4 linked regions of the Saccharomyces cerevisiae S288C genome follow. The gene in region 2 interacts genetically with the main gene of each other region. Each region holds a gene or a part of one and is shown on either strand. Other genes may lie near its edges.

Region 1 (2,302 bases), on a different chromosome or scaffold from region 2:
CTCAATTAAATATGCACTGGGTTCGTCGAGAAAATCCGACTTGGCGTCGGTACTTTCTGAAGATGTTTGCATGCCCAGTTTATATCTTGTCTTCTCTATAGCTCTGCTATGGTGTTGAAGGATGTTATGCGGATCAAAATAGCGATCTGTCTTATACCAATTGAAACTTTTCATCACCTGCTTTTTACTTCGGAGGCATTTTTCATTCAATACTAAGTTCCGGAATGATACAAAATAAAAATGGTATTGAGGCGACATAAGTTGTTAGCACAGCAAAGATGGTTGCGGGTTAAGTTTTCTGATCGTTCTGGGAGAGTATTTACGTTAAAAAATAGGAATCAATTAAGCATAATCATGCCGTTTTGTGTGCTACATATCTGTTTCCCACTATATAAAGTCACGTTAGAATGCAATTTATCTAATTTACTACCCCATTTTAGCGTCAGTGGATTGGTAAATCCCTTTGCTAGCAAGGTACTGTCAGAATATTTCTCCTTCCTTTCAAATAATTGCACCAATATCTTGCCAATACTTCACTTGAGATTGTTCTACAATATCCGCTGTCTTGGAAAGCAATTTTGAAAATCTTCTCCGGGATTTAATGTGAAAGATTCGCCAGCTTCAGTCTCCTGTACATTTTCCTCAGCGTTGCTTGTTGGCTTCTCGAAAGTTCTTCCCTCAATAAAACTTAGAAAAAGACGGTGGCAATCTTCTTCGCAATAAAAGTAGTAAGGAGTACTCCATATTTTATGGTCAAATAGATATTTATTCATCTTGTACGTGATAATGTTTCATTCCCCTTTCACCGAACGCTGGCGTGTGCTTACCTCTAACGAAAGCCTAATATTAGATGCTTTATTGTCGGTCTGTCCCGGAGATGAAAAAAGAGGATAGAAGGGACATGAGATGGTATACTCGGAAATTAGTCAGTGAAATCAAAATTACAGATGCCAGGAACATAATCATTATCGGCTTACAATGAGCCCCCTCGTAACACGTAAAGTGAATAACTTAAGTACGAATTGAACATGTCTTTGGGAAGGACCACATTTCCCTCAACTAAATTGGCACCATCTCCACTCAACACATCCAGTCTAATATTTTTATTTTGTGGTTGCGATTGCATACACGATTTGAGTACTAAATTTTTGACGAATGTAATACGGACCAAACAACAGCTTTTTTATTCACTAGTTATTCTTATAACTACAACACCAAACCCTTTTTGAGATCCTTTTTTTCTTTTTCTATTGTTTGGATTTTCTTGGCTGCATTATGCGAAGCGCAACAATAGAATGTGACAAAAACTGACAGAACCCTTATTAAACAAATATGAAAACCTCTAAAAAAACTTACAAATACGATAGTTGTAGGCCATGATGTTTGTACAGCTCGAATATATGATGCTCAATTCTGGCTTCGAGATGTTCTTGAATTCGATTCTTGTTCTCGTTTTAAAGAAAAGTAAGTATACTTGGTGAATAAAATGCTTCCGCTTCAAGGTAAATCAGCGTCAGGATATTGCTTTCTCCAGTATTCACTTTGAGCCTCCTTTTCTATTTGTGTTGCCTTCAAAACATATGCCATCAAAATAGGGTCTGATCTAATACTATAAAAGTTGTTTAGACCATTTGAAGTCTTCCCTGCTGAGACAGGTGATTGTGTATCCTCGGCACTATTCGATGAGGAATCCGAGTGCGAACCAGAATTCACTTCCTTGATAAGAGTGGTGAAGAACTCATGGCACTTCTTGCCGCTATAGAAATAGTACGGGGTATACCATAGTCTCTTCATGAATAGATATTGGTTCATATTATATGCGACAGTACCCCATTCCTTCCCCGCAGGCTTGCGTGCGATCACCTCCACTAAAAGCTTTATCATGAACTCCTGTTCAGTGATCGCTTTCCCGAATGTGAATGCTGCAACCACCATTAAAGCCATGGAGGCTACTATAAGGGACATCACTAAGATCACAGTGCACCCGTCGTTATCATGAAAAAGCACAATCAATGAGATCAAACTCACGATTATGATGATCATAAACATGATCGGTTTACAATGAGCAATTTCATAAAGTACATAACTCAGATGTGAACTGAATGTGTCTTCGGGAAGAGCTACATTCTCTTCGATTAAATGTGCACTGGGTTCGTCGAGAGTATCCATCTTTACGTCGGTATTTTCTGAAGGTGTTTGCATGGTCAATTGATATCTTGCCTTAATATGGCACTTATAGATGTTATCCTGATCAAAATAGCCAGCTGTTTTATGCTTTTTTAACGTTGTTCACCATTGTATT
Region 2 (3,191 bases):
GTACGTTGCGTTTACATCAGTACTAGCTGCTCATATGTACGCTATCAAAAAGAAGGCCGTAATTCCAAGGAACGCGATGACCTCTTTGCATGTTATGATGGGCGTCGTTACTTTACAAGCAACACTTGGTATTTTAACTATATTGTACCTAGTCCCAATATCGTTAGCTTCTATCCATCAAGCTGGTGCTTTGGCGTTGCTAACAAGTTCTTTGGTGTTTGCCTCTCAATTAAGGAAGCCAAGAGCTCCGATGAGAAACGTAATCATTACCTTGCCACATTCAAGCAAAGTAACTAGCGGTAAAATTTTAAGTGAAGCGTCGAAGTTAGCCTCGAAACCATTATAATGGATAAAGGTATTCTTATGAGAATTGACAGTATACTCGCTTTTCCGCTTTGTCGCTCCAATGGTTGGATTGTATGTGTGAGGCTTTTTCTTATTATATGTTGGTATCCCTACGAGAAGCTGTAAATATGAATTTCTTTAGTAGGCATCACACACAACAATAGGGTGTATTTATTTTTATTTTTTTTTTTCTTATATAAATGTCAGTAATACATGATATCTTTAAGTTAGGATTTCACGAAATTTTCTTCTGCCTTCATCATGGCATCTGTATTTGTGCTCGCGAGCCTCCAAAGTATGAACATAAACACAGACCTATACGGAGAAAATGTTTCAGAGCATTTTTCCATTATGTCGTCGTCATATATTTTCCAGTTGTATTTCTTATGCTTAATCTTACTCTTTTTAACTACTTTTCTTTCACGCATTAATTCTTTTTCCAATTCTGGCTTATCTGAAAGGTATTTTGAAAAACCCCTAGCAATACCTAGATCTTCAGGAGCAAATACATCCATTCTTTTCAATCCGGAGATCAAGAACATTTTGGCACTCCATGGGCCTATACCTTTTACATTCGTAACTAAACTTTCAATCACTTCCTCATCATTATCTTTTTGACCGAAGAGCTTTTCGATATCCTTATATTTTTCAGTAAAATAGACAGCAAGAGACTCTAGATATATCATTTTCCTTTTACTCAATCCACATTTTGCGATTTCTGCACATTTTGCTGGGTCTTTGAAGTCTTCGAAAAGGATTTTGTAATCAGGAAATGCACCGCCATAAAGACTGACAACCCTTGCCTTGATGCTTTCAGCTGCTTGGCCACTGATCTGTTGAGACAAAATTGTGCTTGCAAGCCTAATAAAATAATCTTCGAGTGTATTAGGGACTTGAGTCTCCTTCAAGTACAACGTAAATTCATTATTCTTAAGTATGGGAAAAAGTGATGGATCTTTCTCTAAAATGTGTTCGCAAGCCATATTGAACTTTTCTTCATGTCTAGCAATATATTTCTCAGGAAGAGCAACCTCTAGAGGTCGAGACCCTAATTCTTTTGCTATTTCCTTAACAGCGTCTGCTTTTATTAACTCATCATACTCCCTTTTTAGTTTCATTGAGACCAATCCCTCTCTAGCTTCTCTTGATTCTCAGTAAAAAATTAAAAAGGAAAAGTACCACTTCCATCGTCATATCAGAGGGCAGTGGCCAATTCTCATTGATTCATAGATAACTTAAACTTTATGTAAGAATTCCCGTCGCCACCCCGCCCTGTAAATTCATCGCCACCGAAAAGATAATAATACCAAAATGATATATAAAGTAGGTCGAATAAGAAAGTATACTTAACGTAGTTAACAAAGTACATACCAAACATAACAGCAAAAATATACGTAAAGATGGATTTAACAATTTCAAACGAACTTACTGGCGAGATATACGGCCCAATTGAAGTCAGTGAAGATATGGCTTTAACTGATCTAATAGCATTACTGCAGGCCGATTGCGGGTTTGACAAAACAAAACACGACTTATATTACAATATGGACATTCTAGACTCAAACAGAACTCAGTCTTTAAAAGAACTAGGGCTCAAAACCGATGACTTATTATTGATTAGGGGTAAGATTTCCAATTCCATTCAAACAGATGCTGCTACTTTGTCCGACGAAGCGTTCATAGAGCAATTTAGACAAGAGCTACTTAATAATCAAATGCTTAGATCACAACTCATTTTGCAAATCCCTGGATTGAATGATTTAGTAAATGACCCACTGTTGTTTAGGGAAAGATTGGGCCCGCTCATATTACAAAGACGTTATGGTGGCTATAACACCGCCATGAATCCTTTTGGCATCCCCCAAGATGAATATACTAGACTAATGGCCAACCCCGATGATCCTGACAACAAGAAGAGGATTGCAGAGCTTTTAGACCAACAAGCTATCGATGAACAGTTGCGCAATGCTATCGAATATACACCTGAAATGTTTACCCAGGTCCCTATGCTTTACATTAATATCGAAATAAATAACTACCCCGTAAAGGCATTTGTAGATACAGGGGCTCAAACAACGATTATGTCCACCAGGTTAGCGAAGAAAACTGGCCTGTCGAGAATGATTGACAAGAGATTTATTGGAGAAGCTCGTGGCGTAGGAACCGGCAAAATTATTGGGAGAATTCACCAAGCCCAAGTCAAAATAGAAACACAATATATTCCATGCAGTTTTACCGTCTTAGATACTGACATCGATGTTTTGATAGGACTAGACATGCTGAAAAGGCATTTGGCTTGTGTGGACTTAAAGGAAAACGTTCTTAGGATAGCAGAAGTGGAGACAAGCTTTTTGAGTGAAGCGGAAATCCCAAAAAGTTTTCAAGAAGGACTTCCAGCACCAACGTCAGTTACAACTTCGTCTGATAAGCCCCTAACACCCACCAAGACTAGTTCAACTCTACCACCACAACCGGGGGCTGTTCCTGCGCTTGCTCCAAGGACTGGTATGGGGCCAACACCTACGGGAAGAAGTACAGCCGGTGCTACAACGGCAACCGGGAGAACGTTTCCCGAACAAACGATTAAACAGCTTATGGATCTAGGTTTCCCTAGGGATGCTGTGGTAAAGGCTCTTAAACAGACTAACGGAAATGCAGAATTTGCTGCATCCCTCCTTTTCCAATGAGCAACCACTGATATTGTGATCGGCCTCTACGTATGTAGCCCATAACACAAATAGATAAGTATAAGGATGTACATACTTTCATTGTTTCGTCAATTGTTGTTTGTATTGTATATGATTGTACTTCTGTTAAGTATATAATATGCAGATTGTATTTGTGCC
Region 3 (5,086 bases), on a different chromosome or scaffold from region 2:
TGGGTGAATGTTGAGATAATTGTTGGGATTCCATTGTTGATAAAGGCTATAATATTAGGTATACAGAATATACTAGAAGTTCTCCTCGAGGGTCTAGGAATCCCCATAATGGAATCTATATTTCTATATACCAATATTACGATTATTCCTCATTCCGTTTTATATGTTTCATTATCCTATTACATTATCAATCCTTGCACTTCAGCTTCCTCTAACTTCGATGACAGCTTCTCATAACTTGTGTCATCATCTTAACACCGTATATGATAATATATTGATAGTATAACTATTAGTTGATAGACGATAGTGGATTTTTATTCCAACAGTTCTCTTCAACCATTCGTTTTTGGGACTGAGGAAAATGAATATAAAATTATAATACTTCATCTTGAACTTTGAGAAATCACAAATTGTATGGGCGTGTGGTCTAGTGGAATGATTCTCGCTTTGGGCGATCCCCCTGATCAAACAGGAGGAACAAAGCATGCGAGAGGCCCTGGGTTCAATTCCCAGCTCGCCCCTTTTTTTGCAACTTCGTTTTAGACAGTTACTTAATTTTGTTTCTTAGGCACAACAATATTTATAAAAGAAGAATGTAAGTATGACGACGAAAACGAAAAGACTAATAGTTTCATATAATACTAAACGATTTCAATTTTCGTTTTATATCCTTCCTATTCATAAATTTTATTTCGCTATGCCAATAATGAGTGGATGTATAGTTGATATCTGTTTCGATAATTTTAAAGTAGATAGTAAAATCTTACTGACATGAATAATCCGTCCAAAACTAGATTACTGTATACAAGCATATTTAAAAAAATAATGAAACTATGATCAAAAAACTGTGCTACTACAGCGGTGTTGTTATCCGATACAACCGGATATTTTTCTTTTAATGAGTCTAAACCGTGATAGCTTCAGGTTAATACAATCAAAAAAAGCTCAAATATTCTTTTAATGCCGCGTTCACAGATTCCAATTGAATACAACTAGGTAGTTCATTATATGAAGCCTTTGCTACTATTTTTCACTATAGTCTGCCTTCACCTTAATGCAGACATCCACATATTTTAATCACTTTAAAATAAAAAGGAAGATATATTAGAAGCTATGATCCAATCTGTAAGCCAGATTAAAATTCACGAACTCTTCTTTCATTTGAATTGAATGCTTTGAGTTGGGGTAGATTATCGCAAATTACTCATCACATTTATTGACTACGAACTTGCTGATGTCCTTTTTTTATTTATATTTTTCTTCAGTGAAGCGATTTTTTTTTTACACAGACCAAGACGGAAAAAAGTAGCTAAGGAAGAAAACAAAATCATGAAAAAAATGTGAAGTGATCATGCACATCGCATCAACTTAAACATTGGCTTAGAGATATATAGAGTTAGAGTTTACGGCAACCTTTAAGCACCAATACCTTTTGGCATAGTCTAAAGACCTGGTTCTTAATTTTAAACAAATTTAACTAAAGATTTCCCTATCAAAGAAGTAACGAGTTGACAGATTTTCTCAAAATAAATCGATACTGCATTTCTAGGCATATCCAGCGATGGGTGAACATGGTGGTCTTGTAGATTTATTGGACAGCGATTTGGAATACTCTATAAATAGGGAAACACCTGATAAAAACAATTGCCTTAGCCAGCAAAGTGTCAATGATTCACATTTAACAGCAAAGACCGGCGGCTTGAATGCAAGGTCTTTTCTATCTACGTTAAGCGATGATTCCTTAATTGAATATGTCAACCAACTCTCCCAAACTAATAAGAATAATTCTAATCCAACTGCAGGTACTTTAAGATTTACTACTAAAAATATTAGCTGTGATGAATTACATGCTGATCTTGGCGGTGGCGAAGATTCACCTATAGCTCGTAGCGTCATCGAGATCCAGGAAAGTGATAGCAATGGTGATGATGTTAAAAAAAATACTGTGTATACTAGGGAGGCTTATTTCCACGAGAAGGCGCACGGACAAACCCTGCAAGATCAAATATTAAAAGATCAATATAAAGATCAAATTTCTAGTCAAAGCAGTAAAATATTCAAAAATTGCGTCATCTATATAAATGGCTACACCAAACCTGGAAGACTGCAATTACACGAGATGATAGTTTTACATGGCGGAAAATTTTTACACTATTTGTCTTCAAAGAAAACGGTTACTCACATAGTGGCTTCCAATTTACCATTAAAGAAAAGGATTGAATTTGCAAATTACAAAGTAGTCAGTCCGGATTGGATAGTTGATAGCGTCAAAGAAGCAAGATTATTGCCCTGGCAAAATTACTCGTTAACATCTAAACTTGATGAACAGCAAAAAAAACTAGATAATTGTAAAACCGTAAATTCAATTCCATTGCCCTCAGAGACTAGCCTGCACAAAGGATCTAAATGTGTAGGGTCGGCATTGTTGCCAGTAGAACAGCAGTCACCAGTAAATCTCAATAATTTGGAGGCGAAAAGGATAGTCGCTTGTGATGATCCTGATTTCCTTACTTCCTATTTTGCTCATTCGAGATTACATCATCTCTCCGCATGGAAGGCCAATCTGAAAGATAAATTTCTGAATGAAAACATCCACAAGTACACCAAAATTACGGATAAGGATACCTACATTATCTTTCATATCGATTTTGACTGTTTTTTTGCAACTGTTGCGTATCTATGTAGAAGTTCTAGTTTCTCAGCATGTGATTTTAAACGGGATCCTATAGTGGTATGCCATGGTACTAAAAACTCCGATATAGCTAGTTGCAATTATGTAGCAAGGTCATATGGGATTAAAAATGGAATGTGGGTGTCTCAAGCTGAAAAGATGTTGCCAAATGGGATCAAACTAATATCATTACCATATACCTTTGAGCAATTTCAATTAAAATCGGAAGCCTTTTACAGTACTCTCAAAAGATTGAACATATTCAATTTGATTTTACCTATATCTATTGATGAAGCTGTTTGTGTGAGGATAATCCCTGATAATATTCATAACACTAATACCTTAAATGCAAGACTGTGCGAAGAAATACGCCAAGAAATTTTTCAAGGAACGAATGGTTGCACAGTGAGCATTGGATGTTCCGATTCTCTTGTGTTAGCAAGACTAGCTCTCAAAATGGCGAAACCAAATGGTTACAATATCACGTTTAAGAGTAACCTATCTGAAGAATTCTGGTCTAGTTTCAAACTAGATGATCTGCCTGGAGTTGGGCATTCTACTCTGTCAAGGTTAGAATCAACGTTTGATAGCCCACATTCTTTAAATGACTTGAGAAAAAGATATACTTTAGATGCTTTGAAGGCGAGCGTCGGCTCTAAGTTAGGTATGAAGATTCATCTCGCGTTACAAGGCCAAGATGATGAAGAAAGCTTGAAAATACTGTACGATCCCAAAGAAGTCTTACAAAGAAAATCATTATCAATTGATATCAATTGGGGAATCAGATTTAAAAATATCACTCAGGTAGACTTGTTCATAGAAAGAGGTTGTCAGTATCTTTTAGAAAAATTGAATGAAATAAACAAAACAACGTCACAAATCACATTAAAACTGATGAGAAGATGTAAAGACGCTCCAATTGAACCCCCAAAATATATGGGGATGGGAAGGTGCGACTCATTCAGTCGGAGCAGCAGATTAGGTATTCCAACAAACGAATTTGGAATTATTGCTACCGAAATGAAAAGTTTGTATCGAACTTTGGGCTGCCCTCCAATGGAATTAAGAGGTCTTGCTCTACAATTCAACAAATTGGTTGATGTGGGTCCGGATAACAATCAGCTGAAACTGAGGTTACCGTTTAAAACAATAGTGACGAACAGAGCTTTCGAAGCCTTACCGGAAGATGTAAAAAATGACATTAACAACGAGTTCGAGAAAAGAAATTATAAGAGAAAAGAATCCGGGTTGACTTCAAACTCATTGAGCTCTAAAAAAAAAGGATTTGCCATTTCCAGATTAGAAGTAAATGATTTGCCCAGTACTATGGAAGAACAGTTTATGAATGAACTACCAACCCAAATTCGAGCAGAAGTAAGGCACGACTTGAGAATTCAGAAAAAAATCCAACAGACAAAGTTAGGAAACCTACAAGAAAAGATAAAAAGGAGAGAAGAGAGCCTACAGAACGAGAAAAATCATTTCATGGGCCAAAATAGTATATTCCAGCCGATCAAATTCCAAAATCTGACACGGTTCAAAAAAATTTGTCAATTAGTGAAACAATGGGTTGCCGAAACTTTAGGTGATGGAGGGCCGCATGAAAAAGATGTTAAATTATTCGTGAAATATTTGATTAAACTTTGCGATTCTAATAGAGTCCATTTAGTTCTTCATTTATCAAACCTAATATCAAGGGAATTAAATCTCTGCGCCTTTTTAAATCAGGATCATTCAGGCTTCCAAACGTGGGAAAGAATTTTACTCAATGATATAATTCCACTTTTAAACAGAAATAAACATACTTACCAGACTGTGCGTAAACTTGACATGGACTTTGAAGTTTGAATTAAAAAAAAAAAAACATTTCAGCATACAGTAAACACGCAGTTTGCGAACATTACCTGTAATATCTGCATGATTATTACCAAAGAAAAAAAAAATAACTGACACAATGGACAATTAAATAAAATTAAGTAAAAAAAATAAGGACTTTAATTTTTACTAGAATTCTTGACCAACAGTAGAAATGCGTAAGGTATTGGAATGGCCGACTCCTCCTTTGAATCCTTGAATGGAAACAACAGTATCACCGTTGTCCACCATTCCGAAAGACCTCGCCATTTCAACACCAAACTTTAGGCGCCTATGAACATCCTCACCCCAGTCGTCTAGGCGTTTCGGTTCATACAGAAATGGGAAAACACCTCTATACAAATGCGCAATTCTTGCCGTTCTTGCGTGTCTTGTTACTAATATGATAGGGCAGCTTGGTCTATACTTCGACAGTAGCCTTGCCGTGTTCCCTGTAGTAGATAATACAACGATGGCCTTACCATCTTGCTCCAAGATTGCTGCGGTAGCTGCAGCTGCTACAGTTTCCGTAGTGGAAGTAGGTTTGGGAGTGGCGTCTCT
Region 4 (4,035 bases), on a different chromosome or scaffold from region 2:
ATCTACAGATCTATTCCTAATCACAACCTATCTCTAGCCGCAAGATATATCTGTGTGAGAGGGGTCGCAACAGGAATACCTTAAATGGGATAACCGTCACGTGACTCTCACTAGGGGCATCAAGTGCGCTGCTTCTTCAAGGTTTTCGCGCCCTGTTTGAAGAAGTGGCACAGAATCCATAGAGTAATATTACTAACGAGCTACGAAACTTAGCTTACCTATTAAATACTCAAAGAAAATACGCTGTGTATGCTTTTGCGGCACATCTATGTCATTAAATCTCTCCATGGCGCGTATATTTTATGACGGGAAATCTGAGGCCGATCGAGGAGGGAAATTACTAGAAAAGCTTATCCTTCTTTACCTCCGAACAAATTTTAAAATATACCTCAATGGGAATAAAGAATGCAAGGAAAGGCAAGGTTCAGCCTATGATGATGAATATCGTACTCTAAAATTATAGATATCTAACTGTGGGCGTATTAAACCTTGCTTTGGTCATTATCCAATCGTGTATGCAGAGAGCGGGGCGATATGCAGCAAACAAAAGGGGCGAAATAATAGTTACTCCAAAGATGAAATGGCAGAAGAAAATGGAAAACTATACAGTTTGCGAAGGAGGCATCCTCTTAGTTAAAAAAAAATTTGGACTCATTGCACTGCAAACAGAGTTTCTAGGATTGTCATATTTTGTACCTCCTGGAATGTTAAGACTTTCTCATTAATAATGGTGTGATACACTTATAGTTGGGTGCTAAAAGGTAACTGCAAGCCCCACATCTATAATATTACCGTTAAGTTTCCGGCGAATAGTTTCTCTTTTCGCCCCTCTATTTCTCCCTTCAAATGTGAAGATAAGGAGGACAGCCATAAATATTCCTGTAATGACATTCCATCTTGGGTGGACAATTTTATGGTATAATCAAGCGTATTTAGAAGTTTGGGCGACAGTATTTCAAGACGAGATGCATAAGTATTCTCTTCATCCTCAATCCCGCGATGCTAAAACAAAGTTTTGTTGTTGCATTCCATTTAAGTAGAGCAAAAGCGTGGCAAATCTGAAAAATTGCCACATAGGGTGCTAAATTTGGTATAATGGCACAAATAAACAATCTCAGTTTACTGACAGTGAACTACAGGAATATACAATTTTGAGGTGTTAACGACCAACCGTTAATAGCTTATTCTCTCATATGTTATACCACTGTAGGAAGAGGTGGTTTCAACTGTATTTTGAGCACAGGTAGATATAAGCTCTGGACAGTTTTGCTACCCCTTGAAAGAATTCAACAGTATTTTCTGAGGTACTCATCGTAAAAGATTGCTAATTTTGGTCGCGATGTATATAGGTAAAGGAGTATTTCCTAAAAGTTGCCAAAGATTATCAAAATATTACCGTGTTTATAAAATAAACTGACACCCGGATAATTAAGAAGTGGTAAGCTTATGTTAGAGTACTTGTACTTGACAAGTAAAATCAGAATTGGGAATTATCAATTGAGATCACGTGCAAACCGAAGAAATGCAAAGAAGTAAGGTTAGGGTTTATGGACCCAGGCAGCAGAAAATTGTAGCTTCATTTGTTGGCACAGGACTATTCCACCCTTAGAATTGACTTTTTGGACATTGAGCTAAGGTTCAATGCACTCGATGGTCTTCTCACTTCCGAATATATAGATCTAGCGTGTGAGGACTACTCATTGGCTTGCGATTTACGGTTTTTATATTTTTTGCCGCACATCATTTTTTGGCCTGGTATTGTCATCGCGTTGAGCGGACTCTGAATATAATCCTATTGTTTTTTATGGATCTCTGGAAGCGTCTTTTTGAAGCCAACCCAACAAAAATTCGAGACAAGAAAATAAAAAACGGCACTTCATCAGTATCACAAATACCATCAATTTATCAGCTCTCATGAATGAAATCGATGAGAAAAATCAGGCCCCCGTGCAACAAGAATGCCTGAAAGAGATGATTCAGAATGGGCATGCTCGGCGTATGGGATCTGTTGAAGATCTGTATGTTGCTCTCAACAGACAAAACTTATATCGAAACTTCTGCACATATGGAGAATTGAGTGATTACTGTACTAGGGATCAGCTCACATTAGCTTTGAGGGAAATCTGCCTGAAAAATCCAACTCTTTTACATATTGTTCTACCAACAAGATGGCCAAATCATGAAAATTATTATCGCAGTTCCGAATACTATTCACGGCCACATCCAGTGCATGATTATATTTCAGTATTACAAGAATTGAAACTGAGTGGTGTGGTTCTCAATGAACAACCTGAGTACAGTGCAGTAATGAAGCAAATATTAGAAGAATTCAAAAATAGTAAGGGTTCCTATACTGCAAAAATTTTTAAACTTACTACCACTTTGACTATTCCTTACTTTGGACCAACAGGACCGAGTTGGCGGCTAATTTGTCTTCCAGAAGAGCACACAGAAAAGTGGAAAAAATTTATCTTTGTATCTAATCATTGCATGTCTGATGGTCGGTCTTCGATCCACTTTTTTCATGATTTAAGAGACGAATTAAATAATATTAAAACTCCACCAAAAAAATTAGATTACATTTTCAAGTACGAGGAGGATTACCAATTATTGAGGAAACTTCCAGAACCGATCGAAAAGGTGATAGACTTTAGACCACCGTACTTGTTTATTCCGAAGTCACTTCTTTCGGGTTTCATCTACAATCATTTGAGATTTTCTTCAAAAGGTGTCTGTATGAGAATGGATGATGTGGAAAAAACCGATGATGTTGTCACCGAGATCATCAATATTTCACCAACAGAATTTCAAGCGATTAAAGCAAATATTAAATCAAATATCCAAGGTAAGTGTACTATCACTCCGTTTTTACATGTTTGTTGGTTTGTATCTCTTCATAAATGGGGTAAATTTTTCAAACCATTGAACTTCGAATGGCTTACGGATATTTTTATCCCCGCAGATTGCCGCTCACAACTACCAGATGATGATGAAATGAGACAGATGTACAGATATGGCGCTAACGTTGGATTTATTGACTTCACCCCCTGGATAAGCGAATTTGACATGAATGATAACAAAGAAAATTTTTGGCCACTTATTGAGCACTACCATGAAGTAATTTCGGAAGCTTTAAGAAATAAAAAGCATCTCCATGGCTTAGGGTTCAATATACAAGGCTTCGTTCAAAAATATGTGAACATTGACAAGGTAATGTGCGATCGTGCCATCGGGAAAAGACGCGGAGGTACATTGTTAAGCAATGTAGGTCTGTTTAATCAGTTAGAGGAGCCCGATGCCAAATATTCTATATGCGATTTGGCATTTGGCCAATTTCAAGGATCCTGGCACCAAGCATTTTCCTTGGGTGTTTGTTCGACTAATGTAAAGGGGATGAATATTGTTGTTGCTTCAACAAAGAATGTTGTTGGTAGTCAAGAATCTCTCGAAGAGCTTTGCTCCATTTACAAAGCTCTCCTTTTAGGCCCTTAGATCTCACATGATGCTTGACTGATATTATTCGACAATATGATTATGTCGTGTAAATAACCCACTTTCATGTTGTCACTCCCTCGGCTTTGGTTGGTTAAAGGGACTTATCGGTTTCTTTTTTTAGAGTTGATTTAAGATCAGATCGAAGTAAATAACGTGCAGAACATTGCATATGATAGATAACAACCTATAGTATATATTTCAAAATCGCGACAAATCTGAAATATTAATTGATTTGATTAGCTGCAGAGATCTTCTCGATGTAAGGAGCTATTTAAATAGAAAGGGTCAGAATCGTCGTCCTGTGGGAGCTGGTATATACTAAATTGATGAACAACTAAAATAGCACTCTCATTGTCATTTTGGGTGTGAGACCTTAAGCAAGGAGAGATATTTTTAATGGATGTATTAGCGCAGCCGTTGCTTACGGTATTCCTTGGCATATTGTCCCTGAAAAAAAACCGTTGTACACTCGGATACGCATTTTTCGGACTTCTCCCACCCAAGAAACGCAACTTTTGAAGGGCGCCTACACCACTAGAC

Evidence for each region.
Region 1: mutations in MAG1 (region 2) and DFP2 together harm fitness more than expected from each alone (negative genetic interaction), as found in Saccharomyces cerevisiae (2 studies listed by BioGRID).
Region 3: of MAG1 (region 2) and REV1, changing one suppresses a phenotype caused by changing the other (phenotypic suppression), as found in Saccharomyces cerevisiae (one study listed by BioGRID).
Region 4: mutations in MAG1 (region 2) and ATF1 impair growth when combined (synthetic growth defect), as found in Saccharomyces cerevisiae (one study listed by BioGRID).

What each region holds. Positions count from the first base shown.
Region 1 is NC_001133.9:184,792-187,093, reverse strand, and holds DFP2 (DUP240 family protein), read right to left. Parts: upstream 774-2,302; coding exon 549-773; downstream 1-548. Other genes in the region: pheromone-regulated DUP240 family protein PRM9, read right to left, coding at 1-258; KTD1 (DUP240 family protein), read right to left, coding at 1,498-2,202.
Region 2 is NC_001137.3:454,574-457,764, forward strand, and holds MAG1 (DNA-3-methyladenine glycosylase II), read right to left. Parts: upstream 1,464-3,191; coding exon 573-1,463; downstream 1-572. Other genes in the region: COX15 (Cox15p), read left to right, coding at 1-346; DDI1 (Ddi1p), read left to right, coding at 1,746-3,032. UniProt on the Saccharomyces cerevisiae protein: Hydrolysis of the deoxyribose N-glycosidic bond to excise 3-methyladenine or 7-methyladenine from the damaged DNA polymer formed by alkylation lesions.
Region 3 is NC_001147.6:980,267-985,352, forward strand, and holds REV1 (deoxycytidyl transferase), read left to right. Parts: upstream 1-1,561; coding exon 1,562-4,519; downstream 4,520-5,086. Other genes in the region: pyruvate kinase PYK2, read right to left, coding at 4,676-5,086. UniProt on the Saccharomyces cerevisiae protein: Deoxycytidyl transferase involved in DNA repair. Transfers a dCMP residue from dCTP to the 3'-end of a DNA primer in a template-dependent reaction.
Region 4 is NC_001147.6:1,044,312-1,048,346, forward strand, and holds ATF1 (alcohol O-acetyltransferase), read left to right. Parts: upstream 1-1,914; coding exon 1,915-3,492; downstream 3,493-4,035. Other genes in the region: YOR376W-A (uncharacterized protein), read left to right, coding at 885-1,040. UniProt on the Saccharomyces cerevisiae protein: Major alcohol O-acetyltransferase that uses acetyl-CoA to synthesize acetate esters from various alcohols, producing ethyl acetate, isoamyl acetate, isobutyl acetate, butyl acetate, hexyl acetate, heptyl acetate and octyl acetate.